Linked DNA regions of Caenorhabditis elegans. The protein of the gene in region 3 interacts with the protein of the main gene of each other region in a biochemical or structural test. Each region holds a gene or a part of one and is shown on either strand. Other genes may lie near its edges.

The links.
Region 1: the proteins of cpna-1 (region 3) and pat-6 interact in far-western blotting, tested with the Caenorhabditis elegans proteins (one study listed by BioGRID).
Region 2: the proteins of cpna-1 (region 3) and scpl-1 interact in far-western blotting, tested with the Caenorhabditis elegans proteins (one study listed by BioGRID).

Annotation. Positions count from the first base shown.
Region 1 is NC_003282.8:262,509-266,263, forward strand, and holds the start of pat-6 (Paralyzed arrest at two-fold protein 6), read right to left. Parts: upstream 1,725-3,755; 5' UTR 1,717-1,724; coding exon 1,549-1,716; intron 1,504-1,548; coding exon 1,428-1,503; intron 1,383-1,427; coding exon 1,195-1,382; intron 1,135-1,194; coding exon 1,000-1,134; intron 453-999; coding exon 162-452; intron 107-161; coding exon 1-106. UniProt on the Caenorhabditis elegans protein: Involved in the regulation of cell adhesion and cytoskeleton organization. Component of an integrin containing attachment complex, which is required for muscle development and maintenance.
Region 2 is NC_003279.8:10,092,879-10,096,633, forward strand, and holds the start of scpl-1 (CTD small phosphatase-like protein 1), read right to left. Parts: upstream 1,603-3,755; 5' UTR 1,546-1,602; coding exon 987-1,545; intron 900-986; coding exon 801-899; intron 1-800. UniProt on the Caenorhabditis elegans protein: Phosphatase which may play a role in the egg laying muscles.
Region 3 is NC_003280.10:4,184,590-4,188,344, reverse strand, and holds the start of cpna-1 (Copine family protein 1), read right to left. Parts: upstream 1,670-3,755; coding exon 1,415-1,669; intron 1,374-1,414; coding exon 1,222-1,373; intron 878-1,221; coding exon 197-877; intron 136-196; coding exon 1-135. UniProt on the Caenorhabditis elegans protein: Involved in the assembly of dense bodies and M lines during body wall muscle development.

The DNA.
Region 1 (3,755 bases), on a different chromosome or scaffold from region 3:
GAACTTGGAGATTAAAATGGTAAAGCGGGACGAAATAACCTTCAAGAAGTCCCACTAGGAGAACTAAGAAAACTCCGTCCTGGAATTGATTATCCAAATCAGACACCTAAAAATTTACAAATATCAGCTTCTTTGTAGCACAATGAAGTGAATAAACTTACTTCCAGATTAATTTTATTCAAATGCTTATTACAAAAAGCCAACAAAGATGTCTTCACATGAGCCAACTTATCGGGTCCATAATCGAAAAGCGTATCAAATGCGTCACGAGTGCCCTTCGGTGCCAACTCAGTTTGAACTGTAGTGATTTGCTCAGTAATTCGATGGGTCTTCACTTGACCATGTTCCTTTTGAGCCACCACAACGTTAGCAACCACGTTATCTGGGAATCGAACTGGAGCACGGTAGTGAAGAGCAAGAAGCACCAGGAGCTGGATGATGGCAGTGAAGTCCTGGGAATATTCTTTTATGAGAAAATATAAAATATGGAAAGTAACTCTGTTTATTCGAAAAGTACTGTTGCGTTCAACTATCGTATATTCTCAATAAGTTTTGCATCCAAAAACCACCTCGAAAATTAGTATTGCAGTTCACGAATTTCTATATAGATTACCAGCCGTGGACCTGGGGGTGAAAACTGATTTTTTCTGAAACTACAGTATTCCTACCGTACCACTATTGTGCCAATACAGTACTTCGACTATATCCCTACACTAACCCCAACTCACTATCCCAAGAAGCCAAAACTTCACAGACTACAAAGACTACATAGACTACAAACTATGGACACACAGAATAAGCGCTTTATATATAGTAAATGATGAATAGTATTGTGTGGCGGAGGTGTCCACAGATTAACATATCATACTAATATAGAATATACGGTAGTTTTTGGAACAGCTTCGAGTGAGAAACTCTTTTGTCTACAGTGCGTCAAACATCTGCACAATGAAATGTAAGACTGATAGAAATGAACAATTCAGACAAAGATTTGCGTACCTTTTGATGAATAAGATCCGCAGACCATTTCTCTTGTTCTCTTGGCTGTCCGAGAATTCGATTGGCTGTTTGAACTACAATTTGCAGTTTTTGACGTTGTCCTTCTTCTGACTGCGAAACTTCTGGAACCTCGATCTGTAACAAAACTGTGAGTGGAGAATTTATTCAATTTGTGAAATTGTACCAATAACTTACTCGAATCTGCTCCAACTTTTCCAACAGCTTCTGGATGATTTGACCATCGAAAAGATCTTCTTGCAAGTGACGAACGACAATTCTTTGATCAGCTAGCTCTTCATTAAGCCAGTAGATCAGCAAATCGACAACTTGTGCCAACTTCTGATCGCGGGCTGTTTCCTTAGTCAGATAACGACGAATTTCTCCTGGAAAAAAATATATTGGATAAATATATTGGTGAAACCGTTTACCTTCTTCCAACCAGATGTTTCTTGCAAGAACTGGGACCAATGACTGATCGAGAGCCTCACGACCTTCAAGTTCAAGCTGAAAAATCTATATTTGCTAAAACCATTAATTTGCAAAACTAACCTCCAAAACTTCATCTTCATCAGTAGCATGATGTGCACCCCCTTGGTTTCCATGCTCATCTTCCGGCGCCTTCTTCTTTCGAGAAAGGGTACCAGAGAGTTTCTCAAAGACTCCAGGCTTTTTTGGTTCGTCACGAGATGGGGTCTTACTACGACCAAGTGTTGACATGGTTATTGCTGAAAAGTTTAAAATTATTAAGGGGTAAATATTTGTTGATTCATAATAAAAAATAAAGTACAATTAGATATTGATAAGTTAAAAAAATTTTGAAGTCTCATTATGAAACTCTGTTTTGGAACATTTCCTCTTTAAGCACTTAAATTTAAATTTGAAAAATCGATAATTCAATGTTCAAATAGCAGTAAAAATATTGTGTGGGAGGATTCTTTCCGTAGAGCAACACAAAAGTCCCCATCCAGGCCAGCAGATAGTGTAAAACAGCCGTCGTCAGTGTTGAAAAAGTGAGAGAGTGTTGGGAACAATAAGAGACGTAGAGTTGGAAGGAGAGTTTACGACAAATGAGAGATTGGGTGAAAAGAGGATGGTGCAGATAAATGGTGTGTGTGGGGGAGAGAGAAGGCTTTGGGATACATATAAATGTATGGGAATAGGAAAGAAGAACGGAAAGTTAATATTTGTATATGCATATGTATTGAGAAAGAAAAGGACGTCCATATAACAACTAATATTCAAATAAATAAAAATAAAAATAAATTAAGAAAGACAACAACTCTGCATTTACCGTATTTTCGCTATTAGTCTTGCATGCGAGACTAATTTTCAATTGGTCTTTAGGGGTGCAAGACTAATAGAGACTGAAAACTATTTTTCGAACTTTGGAAAGTGATACAATTTTGACCGTTCAAACAATGAAAAATACATACTTTCCCAATATTACATCAATTATTTGAACGATTTTACATTTGATTTACTCCAAAAATGATAAATTTGCTTACGTTTCCACAAAGTTCTGCTAATATGACAAAAAGTGGGGTGCTAGACTATTACAGGCTGTAAGACTGATTTTCAATTAGTCTGTAGGAGTGCAAGACTAATAGAGGAAATACGGTACAGTCGGTCCACAGGTCGGTCTTTTGAAAATAGTTTTTTCCATAGCAATTTTTGAAAAAATTTTGAAAAACAATTTTAGGAAAAAATTATGAAAAATCACATCAGTTACATTGATTATACGTACGGTACATTCGATTTCCTGGCGTATGATAATAGTTGCATTAAACCGAAATCAGATTAAGAAACATTGAACTAGTAATTGTAAAAATTAGCATGCAATCTAGAAAATTAGGAAATCTGAAAATTATTAAAGGTGGAGTAGGGCCAATGGAGTAAGTGTTAAAAAATACTCCTATGGTGCCAAAGTGACAAATAATCATAATAAAACTTTTCAAAACTTTTTTGAAAAATTTTTATTCACTGTCAAAAAGTGTTCAATATTCAGTTTTTGCCACTCATAATTTTGGAAGTCGACCAAAAAAAATTATTTTTCCTACATTTTTTATACTGTAATTTTGTTTCAATTATTTTTGTTGAATCATTGTAAAGACCGGAATATGCGACATTGCTTTGGATGTCCTCAAAAGCTCATATTTGTCAAAATTTTGGTAATGTGCCAAAACTTTGACCGAAATTAGGGAAAATCTAAAAATTTTTGTAGTTTTATTATGATATTCGGTCGTTTGAAATCATAATAAGCGTATTTAGACAAAATCCCCATTGACGCTACTCCACCTTTAAATTTTTGAAATTTCGTGTACTTCCTTCAAATTTGTTTAATCATCAACCCGATGCGTCTATCCTTCGTTATCAACAAATTGTAGGTGTCTGTGTCAAGAACTATTGTATCTCGTACAATCGAAAAACCAGTTCCTTCATTTTCAAAACGCTCCCTTATTTTCTTTGTTATCAACAATTCGATTTGTAAAAACGGAACCACATCGATTGTTGTCTCTTGTTATTACATCAATTCCTACACCATTTTCAGTCAAAGTGTGGATATTTTCTGAAAACTGAGCGATTTCAGCCAAATATTTGCCTGTTTTTCATTTTTCAATAAAACTTTGCCATGTTTTCAATCGTGCCCATTGATCTTTAATGAATTCTTTTTCGGGAGAATGTGTAGGTTATTTGTTAACCACCAACTCAATTTTGAACATTTTCCTGTTGACCAAACTTTTGATATTTGCCAAATC
Region 2 (3,755 bases), on a different chromosome or scaffold from region 3:
GATGGATAAAAATGAAAGAGATGGAAGATTTGGTGTAATAACTGGAACACTACCACTGAAGAGAAAGAGAAATAAAGAAAAAATGAAGATGAAAACACTCATTTCGTTTTCTAGAAAACATAAAAGCGGCGTTATTAATTACTCGAAATTTTGAACTTTTCTATGATTAAGAACATTTTTCAATTGTTAAATAATAGAAGATAGTCTAAAATTATCGAATATGCCTATAAAGTGTTTAAAATTTTGTCTTTTTTTTTGCAAAACTTTCAAATTTTCGCACAAACTGGTTACTGTAACAAGACCAAATTTCCTTTTTTTCTTTAGCTTTTTCTTGTGGAAATTTTCAAAAAAAAATTTTTAACATGTCTTTATATTAAATTTTTCTGGAATTTCAAAAATTTGTCGCTTAAAATAAACAAAACAATTTTTTAAAATTTTTTCAGTCTATTTTGTTATAGGAAAGTGTGAAAAGCATACAGAAATTCCAGGAAATTTTTTTTACAAATAATGTTATTTAAAAAAATTTATTGAGTTACAGTAACCGTTTTTGGTGGCAATTTAACAAATAATTCAGAAATTTGAAAAAAAATTTGCAAAATTGAAGGAAAACTCCCGAAAAAAGATAAATTTTTGTAGTCAAATTGGATCATTTCAGACTACATCCATTTTCTCTTCAGAAATTGAAAATTCATTTTTTTAATTAAATTTTTTTTAGTGAACTCTTGGAGCATTCTACATAACTTAAATAACCCCAAATTTTTAAAAGAATTTTGATAATTTTAAAATGAAAAATCACATACCAATCTCTCTGGGTGGAGTCACACAACAGAAAAGTGTCTGAAAACAGCGTGCCCATCTTGGTTTCCTTCTCGCTGTTGATCGCTTTTTCTCGATTGATGCTGAAACTGATACAAAATATTAATTACAAAAAAAAAAACAATTCAGTTTATTTTTAAATTAACTTTTCACATTCCCGGTTATCTCACCATTGGCTGAAAATGAATTTAACGGTGTACTAGCCGTATCATCATCTTTTCTTGATGTTCCACCCCAAACTACATTTTTTGGGTTTTCTCCTCCACCATCTCGATTCATTTTCCCTCCATTTTTCTCATCTTTTGTAAGTTTTGCACGTGGCATTGCGGGAATATTACGGTAGATTCCAACTGGAGGACTCATCACAGATTCTGGTGTATTCTGTGGAAATGGTGGATATCTAAGACCATTTTGTGGTGATGATGTCGATGGTGTGAATCCATTTATTGTTGACCTTCCCACAGGATTTGGTTTTACAGGTTTCATTTTCCTCTGTGGTGGTGGAAATTGAATATTATGACGACTGTAGTAACACGTTATTCCAGACTTTTCATCTTCCGATTTACTCCAATAGTCCAAACTGTTGGCACCGTTTTTTGGTTGAAGTGGTTGCGATGCGGATCCTTTCCGCACGCCATCTTTCAACATCGGCGGACCAACTGGAGTACGTGGTGGAGGCACAATCGACGAGTAGACGACGGCGGATCGAGTCGATTCAGCGTAGGTCATCCGATGATTATGATGACTGGGGAAGAAGGTGGATGATGGAGGATCGACGAGATATTTCTTGAAATAAGGAAATGGGGTTTTGGAATATGATAAGTTTGATGTTCGAAGAGAAATAGAGATTAATAAGAAAATTGAAGAAGTAGAATATTTGAAACATTACGAAGTGGGCGGAAATCGTTTTTTTTAAATCAATTCGATAATCGACAATTCGAATTTTTTAGAAAAATGATTCAAAAAAATTAATGATCAAAACTTATTAAAAATATGAGGATTTTGATCTCTGGTAATCGGAACTTTTTTCCGATAACTATTGTCAAATTTCAAATTTTCAAAATTTTATTCATTTCCGAATAATAGAATTGCCGCCCAAACTCTAGACATATTGAGAGAAAGAAAAAATAATAAAAATATGAGGAAACAATTTTGTTATTGTTGAAAAGTCCATGGCAAGAATTTATGGGGAAGTGGTTGGCTAATAAAAAAAACAGACAGGTGTGTGTTTTGATGGGAGAGTCTCTGGAGAGAACTAAATCTGTTTTCTTGTCTCACATAAGATACATAGAATGTTTGTTCGTTTCAACGCATAAACGGGGCAAAACCCAAACATATCTAATTTCAATGGTTTTAGAAACATTGACATTCAAGGGGTTTCAGAGGTGAAAAGAGCAGAGAACAAAGAAGAAGAAAAAGAAGAACTAGCTTCTTCAGAAACACAAATTATCTGAGGTATCCCGAGGGCAGAGGTGAAGTGCTTGTTGAAATGAGCACGCAAACTACTCTCTTTCTGTTTCTCTTTTCTCGTATCTTTCCCCTAAATCATCTGCTGCTCCCAGAGCACAGTCTGGTTATTGCAAAGAACGCGGCGCCTTCCGTGCGCGCTGCTGCCAAAATGTGCAAAAGAAGTGCTTGACAAAGAACAAATAAGCATTGCCGTATGCCGTATGCCGCGTGAGGGTAAAGGCGCGACGTGTGTGTATATACCATAAGTAATATAAACTTGCTGCTCACTTCAACGAGTACTTGCTCACCGATTAGTGGCGGATCATGAAGGGCGCGGAAGTCGGCGGCAGGTCTCACATGTTGGCAATGTGCCAATCACGTTGAGCTTTTGAAAAGCAACGCCCAGAGAGCTCAAAAGAGCTGCTACTGAACATAAAAATAGATTCGGGTGCATGAGGTGGACGTCAATCATCATAATAAGAGTTTATATACACGCTTTTAGAAAGAAATAAGGACCACGATGAAAGGAAATGTCGTGGAGCAAAAGAAAGGAGCAGGCGTCACTCAACAAGGTCGCTCTCACGGCGACTTTCTTCACGCTTCAAATGGCTTTTCCTTTGATGGACTCGATTCATGATGGAGCAGGAAATGGGAAAATAAATATTTAGAGAGGTCAAGGGTCTCCAGAAAAATATTCAAAAATACCTTATGGTCTAAAAAGCTATGCCATTGTTTTTCACAAGAATTACATCGCTTCTCTCGGTTACCAAGGAAACCTTTTGAAACGGATTAACGGTAATAGAATTCAGAATATTGTGCCTCGTGTGTACTTTAAAATTAGATATTTAAATATTTTTCCATATTCTATTTCCCTTCGAAAAACATCCAAAATCTGCTCAGAAACGTCTTAAAAGAAATTCAAAAAGCAATAAAACTCACAAGATTTGTTGTTTTGAACGTGTCTGGTGGCCGCCGCAAAACAACAAACACTTTTTATTCCAAAAAAAGAAAGAAACTCTAGTGAATGTATAAGAAATTGGGCGAAAAAATGAAAGAACTTTCATGCTCGACAATGTAATTTCCCTAATTGCTGTATGTTCGGCGGGAAGGCACAGAAAACAATTTATCGGCTGATGATGTTTGACTACGGAAATTGGAGGGAAGCGACAAAAATAAATATCATGGATCAGATTTATTTAGCCTGGCTCAGCAATAATAATAATAATAATAATAATGGAATAACTGAAAAACAACTGAATATTAAATATTTGATGACGACCGGTCTAGGAATTAGCCATATGATTTTGATGAAACTTAAAAACTCTAAAATACATAGGCACGAACAATTATGAGATTTCTTTTCTTTTTTTTTCGAAAAAAAAATAAACGTTTCTTTCTGATGGATTAGTCATTGGTCATTCTGAGAAGTTGTGAGGAAATAATGTTTAGAATTTCTAAAAAATTTAGAAAATTCAACGAACTAAAAACAC
Region 3 (3,755 bases):
AAGTGATCATAGGCTTTTTGAGACGAATCCAAGTCTGTCGAATCACCTCCAACTTCATGATCCAAAAGCTTCTTCAGACGGTCAGCTTCGAGAAGGGCCTTCTCCTTTTCCCAGTCCTGAAGGGCTCGCTCGTCTCTGGAAATTGAATTTGCTCTTTGTAAATTGAAAACCCAAACTAAGATTAAAAAAAACTCACTGCTCACTGAGCCGCTTCTCCCTTCCCAGCTTCTTTGTTACTGGTTGGAATGCTCCTGAAGCTTGTTGCTCAGCGATCAGAGCTCCAGCCCCGGGAGACAGCTGAGAAATGTCCACGAACTGCTGCTGGTTGTAACGGGCTTGAGATGCTGGGGACAGTTGGGAGAAATCAAAGTATGGTTGCTGTGGATGTGTCTGGATTTGCAGTGGTGATGGTTGCTGGATTGGCTGGAAGACTCCCTGCTGTTGCAGTTGCTGATGAGCTAACTGAGCATGTTGAAGCTGTTGAAGTTGAGCTGGGGTCTTCTGTCCAAGCTGTCCAAGTTGCTCGGAGATCTGATTCATCCGCTGATGAGCTGGAGCATCGTAGATATCAAACTCGTGAAGCAGCTGCTGGTCAGTCGGAGATATCGGAACCGGTTGAACGATTTTGTGTTGGGGTACCGGAGGTGGTTGGTGTTGCTGAGCATAATATTGCTCGGCAGCTGTTTTGAGATGAGGTGGAACATGCTCAAAGTCGTGCCCGAATGCGGATTCTTCCGGTGCAATAGATGGAATTTGCTCGAATTGGGTGGAATCGCGGGATGTTGGAGACAGGTCCATGTTCTTTGTCTCGTGGAGGTGATTGTTGACGGAAGAGAGCACGGTGTCGAACTTCTCTCTGGTGGCGTCGATGGGGTGGCTGAAAATCTGAGATTTTTGACATGCCTATGTGATACCTATTTCGGGCTTTCCACACTTCTGCGTTGCAGCTATGCCTACTCCATACCTGCCTGCCTACGTGCCATTTTCATGCATGCCTCCCTATGTGCAACGTGCCTATACCTGACCCAGGTGTCTCTGCCTACGTGCATTTCTAATGAATATACGTGCCTATCATATTCCTGCTTGCCAACATGTCTAACTACGTGCCTACGCTTGACTTATGTTTGCCTGCCTAGTTCATGCCTACCTAACTACTTCAGGCCTGCCTATTCCATACCTGCTCCCTAATGCCGAAAATGTGATTCTTGTTCTCACACTTACCCTAAATTCAAATCCACCTCCAAGCTCGGGAACTTATTTGCAGCCTGCTCAGCGAACTGATGGACGTTATTTTGAACTGAGTGAGCTTGTTCTTTCAGATATTGGTCGGCTTCACGCATCAGCTCTTCAGCGCTTTCTGGGATGTGTTGCTGCTGAAATTCCTTTTTTTTCAAGATCTATTCTCAACACCTACCACTTGTTCTTTCACATCATGAAGCTTGTCACCGGCCTTGGCCAGGACGCTTTCTACCGAAGTTTGTGGCTCTTCCTTCTCGCCTGACTCCTTCTTATTCTTGTCATCGAGAAGTTTGAAGAAGTAGTAGACGAAGGCTATGGCGGCAAACGTGAGCATGTAGCGGGTGAAGCCGGAGAACACGAGAAAATGCTCCGGCTCCGGGCATTCCTCCCACTCGTCCGGGTCGTACCCGAGACGCGCGTCGAATACCATACCGACTCGCCTGGAAATGGAGAAATTGAGCTAATGGATAAAGGTGATCAAAAATTAAAACAATACAAATTTTTGATAGTTTAGAAGCAGCTGATGGAAGTTAGATGATCAAATAGATAAAAAAGAAACTGGAGAATTTCAGAAATTTGGAAATTTTTGAAGACTTTTTAAAAATCTTAAAAGAGTACCAAAATCTGAAATGTTACTTTTTTAGACACAAAAACCCAAAACTTCCGAATTTTGTTATGAGAAGTTCTGAAACTTTCTCAAAAAAATGGTATAAAGATTCAAAATTTTGGAAAAAGCTTTTTTCAATAGGCTAGTACGCTTTTTTGTGGCCTGCCTGCCTACTTGCCTGCCTATGCCTCTTTTCTGGACATGAGCTCTAGATCAATTTGTGTCTGCCCTAAAAATAATCAGTGAAAAAATAGCGAAATTTTTGAAAATCAACTTGTTCCAATTTTTCCAATTTTAAAGCTTCCTACTTGGAGCCAATTAATACAAAAATTATGAATATTCAAACAATTTTTCAACAAAATTCCAAAAAAAAGACGAAGATCTTTTGATCATTCAAAACCTTCAAAATTTGTGCTCTTTTCTTCAGCACAAAGAACTCTTTTTGTCATTTTTTTCTGCATTTTATACTTGAAAAGCCTTGCTCAAGTTACCAGCTTCCGTCCCCTTCTACAATGTAATGCAGTTGAGGGACGGGACGGGGGACACGGAAAAAATGGCTCTCAAGTCGCGACGATGAGGCAGAAAGCTGGCGGCTCTGCGATGGCAAAACTTGTGAAGAAGAGAAGAGGCAAAACAACAGTGAAAAGCCATGAACTCTTTTGCTGTCAACCAACTCTCTGTGATTTGGGTGGAGTGGTAGTAGTTGAAAGGGATACACAAAATGAGGAAGATATTAAATGGAAAATATTGAGGGAAGAAAAAAACAACATTTGTTGAGCGCCAAAAACATGCGGAACGGCGGTGTTCCAGTAGTTGAAAAAAATAGAATATTTGCAAAAATTGTAGAAAACTTTTGGGAGTTTCCCTTGGCAGGAAAATTGGGAAAATGTTTCAGACGAAAGTCCTGAAATCTTACAAATCCCAAAAATCATTGTTATCCTAACCTAAAAGCTACCGTTCGCAATGAGAACATTGTGCCAAATTTTGATGGCAATTACGTGGGTTGTCCCATTTCGGTTTGATCTACGTAGATCTACAAAAAATGCGGGAGTTGAGACGCAGAGATCTCAACTGAGTTCGCAAGGTTCAGAACTTGCTGACGTCACATTTTTGAGCATAAAATTCCCGCATTTTTTGTAGATCAAAGCGTAATGGGAAAACCTGAAACCACATGGGCAAGGTGTATTCACAGCCCTTTTAAGAACATAGCAAAACTAATGTTGGTTTGTACTAAAAAATATTTTCTGGGACGGTTTTTTTTAATTTTTCAAATAGTTCAGAAAACTTTCTAACAGAAAAAGTTCATCATATTAAAGTTGAAATTTCAAAACAAAAAACTATTTTTCAAAAATACTTTCACATCTAGCCGAATTGATATGGGAAATGAAAATATTTCAATTTGAAAAAAATACGTGCACTATTTTAAATATAGCTAAAAATATAGTTTATAAAAATGAAAATTTTTCTCTAACAAAAGTTATTAAAAAGTTACGAAATTCGAGAGAAAGTTTTTAAAAATCTTGAGCAAAAAAATGTTGCTTTCAGAATTTTGTATACCTTCCTAGAGATCTGGACAAAACCTAGGAAAAAAAGTAAATTTTCACCGTTTCAGAAAATATCTGAAGTTATGCTTTAAACTCTTCAAACTGGAAAAATAAATTAGGAAAAATTTCCAAATTTTCGTCAATCAATTGGCATTAATCCACTTTGAAAGATTATATCTTGATTACTTTTTAGATTATCAAAAACAGCTAAACTATAAAAATATAGTTCAAGGTTTGACACGTGGTTTCAGACTGTCCCATCACAGTTTGATCTACAAAAATGCGGGAGTTTTTTGTTAAAAAATGTGACGTCAGCGTCTCAACTCCCGCATTTTTTGTAGATCTACGTAAATCAAACCAAAATA